Linked DNA regions of Tribolium castaneum. The main gene of each other region encodes a partner of the protein of the gene in region 2 in a complex. Links are inferred from orthologs where the notes say so. Each region holds a gene or a part of one and is shown on either strand. Other genes may lie near its edges.

Region 1 (7,016 bases), on a different chromosome or scaffold from region 2:
CTAATTGGATAATTAAACTAAGACACTTACTTGTCGTTTGAGATGCTGCAGTCGATCTCAGTCTTTTTATTTGTGCTTATGATAAGAAAAGGCAACTGAATGTATGAACTCGGGGCTGGTGGTCCGTTGATTTCTTCCATTTCTCTGTTCCTCTGAGCTAAGTTCTTAAACGAAATTTGGTTCAAAATCAATTCTTGCAACTGCTTCTTCTTCTCCCTGATCGAGGCGATTTTTTTAAGCTTCTCCCGCTCCAACTGCATGCACTCTTGGAGCGAATTTGTCGGTAACCCAATCCACCTGATTTCTTTCTTTTCTTTGGAAATTATGTTCATGGCCATTAGTACGTTTAAGGCATCGTAAACTCTTCGTCTGATATTTTTTTGGTCATACTGCAAAATTCTCGTTACAACACAACTCTGGTTTCCAACTATGACTAGTACCTGATCCGCCAATGAGTTATTGCTGGATGCGCTCGTGAATTCCCCTACTAACTCATCTGCCACTTCATTGTACGTCGTTTTGCCTTTTTTCCTCACCTTTTCGCAAACTTTCATCGAGAAGTGGCGCAGGCCTTTGCCGACCTTTTCCGACTTTCTGCTTCGTTTTCTAACACAAAGCATAAAGAGAAAAAAATAATAAAAAAAAAAAACAGTAAACTTACGAATCGTGTACGAAATCTAGCTCAATCGGATCGGCCCTTTTTCTTTGCAGAATCGGCGGCGAATTGTTCTTGTTTTGGACTGTGTGTGTTTGTTGTACAATTGGTATTGCCGTTGCATTTTGGCTAAGTTGCAGTTTCTGGTTATTTTGCGTAACAAATTTTATACTTTGCTAAAAATATCAACTTGTTACAAATGCTCGCAAGACATTTAACTCTCTACCATTTGAGTCGGCGTTAAACGAAATGTTTTCGTTCCTTTCGGGATTCCACTGACCTGAAGCGTGCTACCTTCTAAAAAATTTAATAAAAATCGGTGAACCGCAAACTCTAATTAGCTTACTTGTTGTTACGAATTTTGGAGTCGTTGCTATTGTTCTTATGATTTGTTGCGACGAACCTGTAGTGCCATACACCTACAGGGAGAAGCAGTGTTTTAAACGTGTACATATTTTAATGGATAAACAATTAGGTGATGAAAGTGGGCGTCGATGTAGGAGGGTATAATAACAAAGCGATAATTGCAAGGAAGAGTGTGACGTTGGATTAAATTAAAAATATTGTAAACTGGATTAAAGGTGTGACAATCATCACGCGATCGTGTCCTTGGGAAGCCACAAATGACTTCTTCGAATTTTTTTGACACGATCTCTATCAGGATATTTTGTTGCTATTTCAACACAAAACCAATCAAATACCTAAAGCCTTATTTATAATTTCGCTCCGGTTTGTGGCAATTTGTGTTGTGGTGAGATTAAATACAACACATTTGTTATCTACATTAATCGTGGGTTGGCTTTATCTGTAAAAGCTTGAAAGCAATCAAGAAAATATTGCCAGTCTATCCACGAAAATACTTATTTACACTTTATGCGTTCGGCTTAAAAACAGACATGAACACTGTTATCTAGGGTTTTTTATACCTAGGAAAACCTTATCTGTTATCAAAGTCGTAAATTTATTGCTACCGAATTAGGATGAAAGGTGCAACAATGATCTTACTTAAAATAGCATATAAACAAGCGTAAATGTAAAAAAAAGTAAGTCCAAAGTTAAATTATATCCACTACCATCTAAATTATGTAAAAAATCCATACAGTAATCATTTACGTAAAAACACTAGAAACTGATGCAATGTGAAAACCTAATCGCACGAATGAATTCAACTAACCACCGGTTAAAAATATCTCGATATAATTTTTAAGCCTGTTTCGTTTATCGACGATAATGTATAAAAGTTGAGGTTGTTAAAAGTTATAAAGCTTGAAACTTTGAAACCGTTGCGTGCCTTCGTGGATGATGTATCGCAAAGATTAAGGACTGTAGTAACGCAAAAAGCCGTTATTTCGCAGTATGAAAGAACCTTTTGCCCTTTAACAAAAGGAATTAATTTTACGCGTTAAAGCAACTGAAGTCATAACGCGTTTTTACATCCAAGAATGGGCCAAAAAAGTTGTCACAAACAGGATTCCCAATTCAAGCAGAAATAACAAACACGACAGTAACTCCTGAAGCTTTTTATGTAAATAAATAATCAAACACGTGTGCCCCAAACATGGTCTTGGATTGTAATGTCCCAGCGATTTTGATTGGGAAAAATCGTGATCGCAGACTGGCAGTGTCTCAACTCAGGTTCAAGGATACCTCAACAGGTTAATGGGAAGATCAGATTTATGATAGGTATTATCTGCCATGTCGCACTAGTTCCATTAGGAATTTTATTGACGGGATATCAAAGAACAAACGTTTGTTAAGAACGTAGCAATCAATAGCGATGCTAATCTGATAGCGACAGATATGTATATTTTATGGGGCCACTATTAATTAAAAATTAATGCAATTGCCGATAGCCACGGTCAAGATAATTAGAAGTAGACGTTTTTTGTCCTGTGACTAGAATCATAATTATCTCCGCTGTTTTAATGAGCTCGTCTTCAATAAAGCAATTTGAATAATCATTATCGATAATAAAGTGAAACGTACTAAAAAACGGAAAAGTAGTTTTTAAGAACTCTTAAGTTATACATAAAATAAACTGGATGTGGAAAATGCGCAGACGCGTGGTAAATATTGAGCAAAACTTGAAAAACCATTCATCTTCAAAATAGCCGGGCGCGGTGGACAGTGGACACACTGTATAGTACAGTAACACTTCGTTAATCCGAAGGTGATTCGGACTACAAAAAAATTCGGATTACCAGTAGCAACATAGTAATTATGTTTACAATCAGAAGAAACGTGGAAGCTTTAGTAAGCACACAAGTATAAAAATAGTTAGTAGTGGAAATTAATAACTCCCTTGAAATAATAATGATGTAGATTAATCCAATTACAGGGACAGGACAAGAAAGTGTTTAAATCGACTAGTTTTGTTACTGGCGTTGATAACACTCGATAATTTATCTAATAATTATGATTTTTGTGTTAATCTAAAAACCTATTCGGACGAGAAAAGCTTCGGACTATTGAGATATTGCTGTACCTATTAAGAGAAAAAGGGGTGACTGAAGGTGGGGTCTGAGAACCGGTTTCCGACAAAACAATCTAAAATATTTAACTTACAAGAGGTAAAAAGCTCGGTTTTTCTTCAATGACGCAACCTTATGAGTTTAACTGCTTTTGTGATCCAATAAAATTCACGAAACCATTACAAATGCGTGGCGATACTGATCTACCTCCACACAAACACGCGATAATTATGGTCAAGATAAATTAGAAACAAAAACAGAAGTAGTCGAAAATAGGCAAAGACATGCAAGAAAGATGAAAGAGATGAATGAATTGTGCAATTACCCCGAGATAAAAATTCGATCAATCGTTCGAAAACTTAGGAATAGATGTAAACAAATCCGTCTTATCTTTAACGAACTACAAACAAATTAATTTAGGGGGGAACGAGTGGAATACCTGGAGCGGTTCCTGGCTGTTCGGCGATTTGAAAATCTTCATGGGCTGCCCTGCCACCGAGGTCACAATGCCACTTATGGGCTTTCCACTGGGCTGGACCACCTTAATCATCTGCCCTGTTACAGAAAAAACGAATAAAACACGTGCACTGAACCCGCTTTTCCTCCCACATCGAGGCGGTTTCCCCCGAAACTCGGTCCTTTCCCGCCCAGCCCCCCAACCGGCAACTGTTTGCCCCCGCACCACTTCGTTGTGGGCCCCCGTTTTGGAAAAACCCCCGAACCCTTTAAAAATTACCATTGGCTCCCTGGATCACCCAGTTGGTTGTGCTGTTCTGCTGGGTCATTTTCCCTCTCGTGCGAAACACTCACTCGCCGCCCCTTTAGCACATTTCCTCAAAAACGGGACACTGTCGAAAAAGCACCGGTTTTTAAATCCGAGCTCCTCTCCATCCAACTCCAACAAAAATGGCGACTGTAACTAGGCGATATTTTGGAATTGAAATAGGCGGACCCCGCGCACCACGAATTCGGTTTAAACAACTCGCGAAGTTTCCTCGAATATCGCAATTTGCTAATTTCGCGCTTTTTAACTGCTTGCTTGCGATACAACACTTGGGGGTGTTTTTGAAGATGAGCTATTTCGTGCAAGGAAAGCCACTACCAGCTTGGCGGCGGGTACAAAGGCATCGCTCCCATTGGCTGGATTCCTTCACGTGGGACACGCTGCTCCTAGTTCGGGCAAGCGGCACGAGGGAGCGATGCGTTCGAAATATTTTGGCGCCTTTTTGCCTTGCGGCCCCCGCACGGGGCGCACGAGGCCCTGACACCGGGCAAATGCCCCGGAAAAAACACCCAGGGATGCAGTTTCAATAATACGCGGCTGTCAGGAAAGGTGCACCCACCGAACAGGCCATCGACAGAAACGTGCAAGACAGAACCTTAAATTATTAGAAAGGCAGTATTCGCTAGGTGTCGCTACTGCAAAAATACTATTTTGCACTATAATGACGAAATAGTCAGTAAATACGGTAAACACAAATGTAAAAGAATAATTATAAAATACTATTTATTACCTGTTTCGAAACCATAAAAATGCCAACATCACATTTTCTCTCAAAATTTGTTGTAATGGGTCAATTCACGACGGTATGCGTGTGGATATGGTAAATGTAATGTAGTTTTTCGACCTGTTATCTTCTTATAGATCTTAATACTAATTGTTCATACTCTTCTGACTGAATTTTTAGTCATCATAGCATGAATAGCAAAGGAAAGAAGCTCATACCCACACGCAAACCGTTATGAATTGACCCCATCAATATTTTGTAATTTTTGTTTTTATTTTTTAAAGCAAAAACCAAAAAAATACACGTTTTTAAGTAGAATATTTTTTTGGGGATTTTTTTTTTAAATCCAAATCTGTCATTGCCTTTTTCAAGACGTTCTTGATGTTAGAGTTACGACACTCAACTTTAGCCATATTTGATACTTGCATTTTTTAAAAGTTTTTTTATTTCTGCTAACAATTCGATGTATCACATAATGATCAGCAATTTTCGTAAAAATGCTTTTTCTCCATTTTGATCAGCATGTAATATTTGATCATATTTTGTGATACATCGTTGAAATCAGAAATAAAAACGACAAACGGACACCCTGTATTTATAAATATGTTTATTGCTGATTGTTTTTTACAGCCGTAAAACTATTTTTTTGTATTCTTATATTGCATATGAAATATAGATTTGTCGAACATGTAACATATAAAGAACAGTTTATTGAAAAGCTAAAGCGGCTTCAGAGGAATAAAAGTGCCGAATCAATTTTAGTAGAAACGAAAATTTAAACATTTTAAAACAACAATGAAAATTGTTGCTAAATACAAAAATTATGTAAAAATAAATACATTTCTGAAAATGAAAATGTGTCCTGGGTGTCGATTCTAAACCAATACTTCGACTCGAAAAGTGTTTTGAATGCTTCTGTTTATGATTTTTTAGATTTGACTGATTCTGCCGATGTCTGTTTCTAGAGATGTCCTGTTCTGTCGCTAATTTTTTGTTGAACACCACCTCTATTATATACGTGAATTTTTCTAGATCAGTTCGCGTCCTCAATAAACCGCGTTATTGGACGTCGTGAATGCAAATTTCGCGTGTTTATAAATAATTTAAGCGGATTTTATTGAAATCGCAATCAGTCGGTTCGAGCGGTTGGTATCGCTGTCAAGTGTCAAGTGTCAGACGGGTTGGTCCGTTCAAAAATGGATGCCGCTGTAGCATCAACATTGCCCGATAATGTGTTGGAAGTAATTTTTTCATATTTGTCTCTGCATGATTTGAGGAACTGTTCTTTAGTGTGTAAGAGATGGTATAGTTTTTTAAATGATGAAAATAACGACGTTTGGAGGCTGCACTGTATTCGGAAACTAGCCGAAGAAGCACTAAAGTCAGATTTGTTGTCTTCAGTTCCTACGTATAAAGCGAAATTGCGGGCGTTTTACCACGCCTGGAATCCGAACGACTGCTCTAGAAATATTTATATTAAGCCTAATGGGTTCACGTTACACCGAAATCCCGTAGCTCAAAGCACGGACGCTTCGAGAGGTAAAATCGGATTTAGACATGGGAGACACGCTTGGGAGGTGATCTGGGAAGGGCCCTTGGGGACGGTCGCCGTCATAGGAATTGCCACAAAAGACGCACCTCTGCAGTGTCACGGTTACGTGGCCCTGCTGGGCTCGGACGACCAGAGTTGGGGCTGGAACTTAGTTGATAATCATTTACTGCACAATGGAGATGCTCAAGGCAATTACCCGCTACTTAACAATGCCCCTAAATATCAAGTAAGTTCGCTGGTCCACCTACAGTCTGTTCTTTATTTAAACGGAAATTACCAAGTCCAAGACTCTATATTATGTAATTTTTTTATTATTTATTTTGACTGGAAATGGCAAGTTCTTTTGCCAAAACTACACCTTTTTCAACTGTATTTTAGAAATACTCAGGTTTATTTCAGAAGATGTTATTGTAATTCATATTAGTAAAGTTAAAGTTTTGATATTTTGTAGACGTTATTTATAATCTAGGACGTATTTTAGGATAATATTTTTGATTATATGGAGTGTCCCCAAAAAGAATGAGGGCATAATATTTTTTTAATGGCAAGCTTTTTTTCGTGCTCTTTAGGATACCTTTTTACCTAGTTTTTTTAAATTAGTTTGGGGATTTCAAAAAATTAAAAAAAATGGTTTTCCACCTTTAGTTTTAAAAATTAATAAAAAATAGAAACAGTGCTTTTTTGCTAACATTATTAGTACGTACGTGTTGTATAAGTTCTATTTGTAAGTTCGACACTTTACTTCTCTTGGTTAAAATTTGAAATAAGATTAATCTTGCATAACAGAAAGTGACCAACTTTTTAATTTTTAAAACTTATAATTTTTTGAC
Region 2 (6,693 bases):
ACCACTTTTATTTGACTAAAGAATTGATTGTAATCCAAACCTTTTTACCAACGATGGCAATCAAAATTTTTCTCATAAATTCTGCTCCACTTTGGGGGCATTCTCACACGTTTTCGTGAAAACCAGGCGATGCGTTACGACCATATGGCCCTAAATGGCGCAAATTGACCCTCAAAGCATCACCATATGTGTTTTGTGAACTATGACTTTTGTGGGAACACGTTACGTAATCAATTAAAGAAAAAAAAACGGAAGTTGTAATTCTGTTTCTGTGTTTCCAGGAAGACGAAAAAGTGATCGAATTGGTGAATAAATACGGAGCGAAGAAATGGACCTTGATTGCGCGTCACCTGAAGGGCCGTATCGGCAAACAGTGTCGGGAGCGATGGCACAACCACCTCAACCCCAAAATAAAAAAGAGCGCTTGGACGGAGAACGAAGACACGATTATCTACCAAGCGCACAAGGTTTTGGGCAACCAGTGGGCCAAAATCGCCAAACTGTTGCCCGGAAGGACGGACAATGCCATCAAAAACCACTGGAACTCCACCATGCGGCGGAGGTACGAGACCGAGAACCGCCAAGACGGGGAGACGCGCCGTGGGAGAGCCAGAAAGAACCAAACAAAACAAGCAGACATTCTGGCCTTTCAGTACCAGAACCACCAAGTTGTGACCATTGATAATTGTGATAGTCGCAGTGTCAACCAGGATAATCTGATTATCAATGATGTGAGCACGCGGGATTGCGTTACGACCGGTTATTTTATTTTAATGTTAATTGCAGGAATGGACTTTGGAGACGTACGACCATGGAAGCAACCAGTCCAGCACAGGCGGTTTCTCTCTGACGGCCACCCCCAGTCCAGGTCCTCTGACCCCCAGCCATACGGTCGTCAGCTTTTCCTCCTCGCCTCCACCCTCCACGACCTCAGTTAAAGCAGATTTGCCATCATACAGCTACCTTGATGTAAATACGTACAACAACCAAACTAGTCCCGTGAAACTAACACCAATGACTGACGATTTTGACCTGAAATACTGTACCCCGAGTGGAATAAACCCACTGAGGGATTTCTCCGAAAGTCGCCACTTTATCAAGTCACGTAAGTTGGTCAAGTGTCAGAAAAACGTCATTTCTAGCTTGCTTGCAGGCCTGACACCGCCGAACCTCAACCAAAACACTTTAGTACCTGCTGAAAATATGACCCGAGCCTCCACTCCTCCCATCCTGCGACGGGGTGCCAAGTCGAGGCGAAGAAGGGAGAGTGAAGGCCAGGATATCATGTCGGACTGCGCTGAAGATCGGGTAAGAATCAAAGGACATCAAACCCAATTTCTAGCTAATTATGGTTATTCGTTGAATGGCCAGATCTATTTCATAACACAAAAACATAAACTAAAAATAATAAGAGAAATAGTTATAAACTGAACAATTGCATCTGATAAAGCAAAACTCTGTGCTATTGAAGGTAAAATAGATAGCGATGATAATTTGAAAATAATTAGATAATTATGTGCGAAATACCACTTTCGAAGATAAGACCTCTGTGCCTTCTAATAAACGATTTAAACCGCACATTTACGAAATTTTATTTTGGCTTCACCAGCGACAAACAAATCATCAGTTAGATATTTAACAACTGTTTTTTTATTTGTTAAATGAAAAAAATGTTTCATCATTCTTTTGTTAGTTATTATAATAAGGCAATAAATTGACTTGAATATGATGGTTTAAGTAGTGATATCTAGTACAAAAACTGTGTAAATTTATTCAGAGATATAATTAAATTAAGGCACAGTCGCATAAAAAAAGAGCAAGAGATGTGTAATCTTTTTTTTCTGAAAGAAGCAATAAAATGGGAACGGTTCCATCTTATGGAAATTTAATGACCACTCAAATCCAATTTTTTTTATACCAATCGATAGCTTTTATCGAAATAATGAGCAATTCGTACCTTTGCAAACTTTGTAACTTTTTTAATAAAGGCAGAATTAATGATTGGAAAATTAAAAACGGTAAATGCAAATTGCATTGGAGCAAAAAAAAAACAGAGGAGGGGAAGTTTGAGAGTCTATAAGTCATCAAAGTTGGTTGTGGCTGTGAGGTTTTTTGATTTCAAAATTAAATAATTGTTTATGATGACGGGTTGTAGAAAAAATAAAATATGCAGCTCGCTTTTAATGGCCATGTTTTTAATATTTGGGCATAATTCAGTTGATTACAGTCCATTGTTATTTTGTAGAACATCGACGAATTTGCGTCTATGTTGGGCTACAGCACGAAACCAACCAACAACAATGGCACCTCCCCGATAAAACAGTTGCCGTTCAGCCCTTCACAGTTCTTCAACAGTCCTGGCTTTTTAGAGATGCCTTTATCCTCAACGCCCGTCAAGAGATTCCCGACGACACCATTGAAAGATCGATCGTTAAAACCTGTACGAAACATTCAACTCGTCTTCTGACCACAATATTTAATTTTTTTCTTATAGGACTACAGTCCCTTGAGCACCCCCAACGGTCTTTCAGTCAAGGTGGAAATGCTGAGTTCCACAACCGACCCAACGGTGACACCCAGCAAGCGCTCGTTCCAAAGTATGGACACGCCCCGTACCCCAACGCCCTTCAAGAAGGCCTTAGCCGACTTGGAGAAGAAGTCCGGCCCTATAACGCACCTCCCAGACACGCCAACTCGTCTGGAAGACATCACGGAAATCATGAAGAAGGACCAAGATATCAGTTCGAATTACGAAACCGACACCAGTCTGATGATTACAGTAATTTAGTCACAGTTTAATGTGGTGTTTTTTATTGATGTGTGCTTGACTTTTAGAATGATAGTGGTTACATGACGGGGAAGAGAAAAAATGGGAACGGGCTCGCTGAAGGCAAGGAAAACGTTCTTCCGAATAAGCGAGTGCGGAAGGCTTTGGCGCCGTCTTGGGCCTCCACCTCGTCGCAGGATATGTCGTCGTTCGCTGTGGAAACTCCCGTAAGTTGCGATTTTTGCGAATCAAATTTTCGACATTGTACTAATTGTCTGGTTTTAGAGTAAATCGTTGGGCGACGATCCCTCAGCTCTGTTCTCCACGCCGTCTTCGATAATGAAAGACTCTTTGGGAGTGACCGGACTGATGGATTTTGCTCAGTCAGGATCATCCAAGGTACATGGATGGTTTCATTTCGGAGATAATTTATTCCCCTCCTAATCCTGCCCCCTTTTTGTTGAGTTAACAATCCTGTACCTGTTCCCATGGTCCCTTATTAACATGTGTCTGGGATTAATCGCTTCGAAATTCTATTTTTCTTCGATTTTTAGGTCTAGGTTGTAGTTCTTTTTTTTTGTACATTTACTTGTTTTTATTTTTTATTGGCCACATTTTGTTTGGAAAATTTCTTAGTCTAGTGACAAAACCAATCTTGCATGTACCGTGAGTCGTACCTACACTTCACCTTCTAGTCTATGCCAACTTAAAAGTTGCGCATAAAGTCACCAAAGTCCATGATTACCATTCCTCTTTTTGTTCTTCAGTCAGCTTTTGCCATCGCACAGAGAACGCAAGTATTGTCACACTATCAGGGGCCGGTCGCGCTGACACAACCGACGGGGTTAAACCTCGGTCACGTGGTTATGTCGGCTGAGACTCGGAAATGTTCTTTAACAAGGCAACTGATTTATTATTATGACATTTGTGTCTTTAAATATTTATTTTGATTGTTAATTGTGTTGTTATTACGGTTTGAAGAAAATGCGAAGCATAAATGCAACAATGAACAAAGTTTAGCGTTACCAGAATAGTCACGCCCGGTTGTTTTTAATTATTACTAAGATATTGTGTAGATAGAGCACTTGAGTACTTAAGTAAGTAGTGTTGTTGCACAGAGAATCCACGCATTTTCTCCTAGTTTTTAAGAAATTAAGTTGCTCCTCTTTCGCGGGGGCTCTTTGGGGGTGTTAATGCTAGGCTTGGGGAATCAGCATGTGGTCGTTTGTGTGGTGGTATTGTAGCTTTTTTATCCTTGTCCCGGCAGCGCCTGCCATCTGCCAGTGCCCCCTCCCGCGCCCCTGGTCCACGAAGCACCGCCGCCAAGCGGATCACTTTTGAGGATACTAGGCCCAAAGCTCCAAAGGTGAGCACTCGCCCATTTCCCTCCCTCCACGTCCGCAAAGCGCCGCCTGATAGTAAGGTTCCGTTTTTCTTCCAGATCGAGAAGATGTGGGCCATGGTTGCGTGCGGCAAGACGCAGGACCAGATCGACCTTACTAAACGAGCACACAATTTTTTAAGAACTACCAGCTTGAAACCTCGTTCTTTAAATTTTTAAGAAAATTTTGTACATATGCGATTCGGTTTACACTTTGTAAATAGAATCTTTTTTACAAATAATTTAGTGCAAACGATTGTATTGTAGATTTGTCGGCTAAATTCAATAAAGCATCACCGGAGTGAGGTTTCGTTTACGGCTTCACTTTACTTCTTTTTAACTACGTGTAATGTATATAGACTTTTCACTGAGTAAATGAAACCTTACTGAACAAAAACCATGTATAGAACTAGTCTACCATTTTTCTTGTATAATTGTTTTCGTAATTATATCTTTTAATATATACAGTTATTAGAAAGGACGCCCAAAGGTTGAAGTTGTAATTTTATTGCCATGGTAGGTCTAGGTCTCTTTCTTGTTGTCCTTTGGGTTGTTTCGCTTATAAAGCATGCTTCAGTTTAATTTTTGCATCTATTTAAAGAATGTGTTTCTGAATTTATATTTATTTTATAATTTTATGTCACTAAATAAAATTGGTACTTTTGTAAGAATACACCGCATCGTTGTTTTTTTCCGCCCCGAACTAAACTTTTCGGAAGTGCCCCGTATTACATAACAGGAAAATCACCAGGTGGCAGCTGGTGTAGTTTTCCGATTGCGTTGGCACCCCTGCTTCAGATGTTTTATGTCAACTCCATGATCGGTACACAAGACGTTCCTAGAAGTGATTTTTGTGGTATTTTCTTAAATTAGAGCAACTTGGAGGCTAAAAAAGCATTAAAATTAGCGTTTTTGGTGCAGTATTGTTGTTGCGTGAGTGGATAGTGTGTCTAATCGTAGGAAAATCGCGAAACTCGCAAGGTCAGAACTAGTGGATAAATCAACATGACTTCATTCATCTCCGGAGTGCATTTGCAGTGAAATCGAGTTTTAGTGATATGGCAGACAGTAAACTGGCAAGCCCCCGTGCTGACACCGCTAGCCCGCCCCCACACTGTGCTATCTGCTTGGGGACGTGCAAAAACAAATGTCGGGCCAATTCCTGCATGCACGAATTTTGCTACAGTTGTTTGTTGGAATGGTCTAGAGTGAGTAAATTTGTAAGATTGCGACATTATTTTCATCGATTGTTCATGTATTTTCACTTGCTGATGGCCCGGTGCACTGAAATAAGAAGTACTACAGCTAGATTATAATTTATTTAGGTACAAAAAATTTCCAGCTCGCAAGAACGAAAAACCTTTAATAGTTTTTGAAAAGTCATCATAATCAGGATCATAGTCTTAAACCGCAATGATGACCTCATGTACTGCCATATCTATGTAAACCCTTTTGTTCAGATAAGTAATACGGAAGTCTTAAAAACCCGTGAAAACCCAATTAACTAACTAAATACGTCGAGATTTAAAAAAGTTGTTGGAATGATAAGAGCAATAAAACAGGGAACGGAAATTTTGAACAGAAAGAGTCGTAAGGAGTGACCCTGTTCTCAAGTTTTTCTACCATAACTTTAAAATATATAGTAAGATGCTTCCTAAAATAGCAAAGGGTGGAGGCACATTTTGTGGTTCCAGTATTAAAAACATTTGATTTTTTAACAGTTCATTGGTTAGTTTTTCGTTCATGTAATATTGAATTCCCTTGCTAATTGAAAACTTTGTTCTGGTCGTCGTTATGTTTCTTTGCTACTTTATACACTGTCGAATATAGGACTTTTCGTAGAGGTTTATTTAATTTTTTGCCATGAAATTGGAGCTTAAATATTATAGTAACTTAATTAATAAACTTCTTTCAATAAGTTGTAACTTCTTGGACTGGGATTGATAAGAAAGGTTCTTAATAAATAAATTTTATTTAAAATAATGTTTTCCTTCCACCCCACAAGTGACAGTGTTCTTATCAGACAAGCTTTAAATCTGAAGGAAATGGATATAGGATCCTTCAAAATTGGCGAATTCCGAGTTCAGAGCGTTGTAGAGAATCACTTTAGTTTTCCAAATAAAGAAAACTATGAAGTTTCGTGGATTTTCCACAAAGATACATTGGTTTGAAGGTGCACTTTTGGAGCACTTTGAATTGCATTTTCTTCAAACACAGACAAAAGATTTCAGTGTTCATTGCTATTTATGGTGTAGATGATTGTGGAAAAATGTAAAACAATTTCTCGAAGAAATTGCTTGATTTCGGAGTAAAAAAAGCTTAATTTTTTTGTTATTTTTTCTTAGAAATGAAACGGCAAATTACAAAAATTTAAGATTTTATTATATCAAAATAAAGCTAATAAAGAAATGTTTTGCATTATTATTCTCCACAATTATCTATACCATAAATCACAATAAACACTGATACTTTCAACCTGAATTTGAAGAAAACGTAATTCAAAGAGTAATCTTCAAACCAGTGTATCTTTTGTTGATATGTAGAG

The links.
Region 1: Myb (region 2) and Dp share a complex: the UniProt entries of both Drosophila melanogaster proteins name them as parts of the DREAM complex. The link is inferred for Tribolium castaneum from reciprocal best matches to the Drosophila melanogaster genes Myb and Dp.

The regions. Positions count from the first base shown.
Region 1 is NC_087398.1:7,906,722-7,913,737, reverse strand, and holds the start of Dp (transcription factor Dp-1), read right to left. Parts: upstream 4,262-7,016; 5' UTR 3,912-4,261; coding exon 3,863-3,911; exon of another isoform or gene 3,682-3,862; coding exon 3,566-3,681; exon of another isoform or gene 3,547-3,565; intron 1,699-3,546; exon of another isoform or gene 1,551-1,698; intron 1,075-1,550; coding exon 1,002-1,074; intron 953-1,001; coding exon 882-952; intron 832-881; coding exon 662-831; intron 607-661; coding exon 441-606; intron 390-440; coding exon 31-389; intron 1-30. Other genes in the region: Fsn (F-box/SPRY domain-containing protein 1), read left to right, coding at 5,831-6,412. UniProt on the Drosophila melanogaster protein: Component of the DREAM complex, a multiprotein complex that can both act as a transcription activator or repressor depending on the context. In follicle cells, the complex plays a central role in the site-specific DNA replication at the chorion loci.
Region 2 is NC_087396.1:14,747,066-14,753,758, forward strand, and holds the end of Myb (myb-related protein B), read left to right. Parts: intron 1-281; coding exon 282-731; intron 732-786; coding exon 787-1,105; intron 1,106-1,153; coding exon 1,154-1,308; intron 1,309-2,245; coding exon 2,246-2,440; intron 2,441-2,494; coding exon 2,495-2,779; intron 2,780-2,835; coding exon 2,836-2,994; intron 2,995-3,052; coding exon 3,053-3,166; intron 3,167-4,034; coding exon 4,035-4,133; intron 4,134-4,208; coding exon 4,209-4,328; 3' UTR 4,329-4,821; downstream 4,822-6,693. Other genes in the region: E3 ubiquitin-protein ligase Topors, read left to right, coding at 5,207-5,356. UniProt on the Drosophila melanogaster protein: DNA-binding protein that specifically recognizes the sequence 5'-YAAC[GT]G-3'. Component of the DREAM complex, a multiprotein complex that can both act as a transcription activator or repressor depending on the context.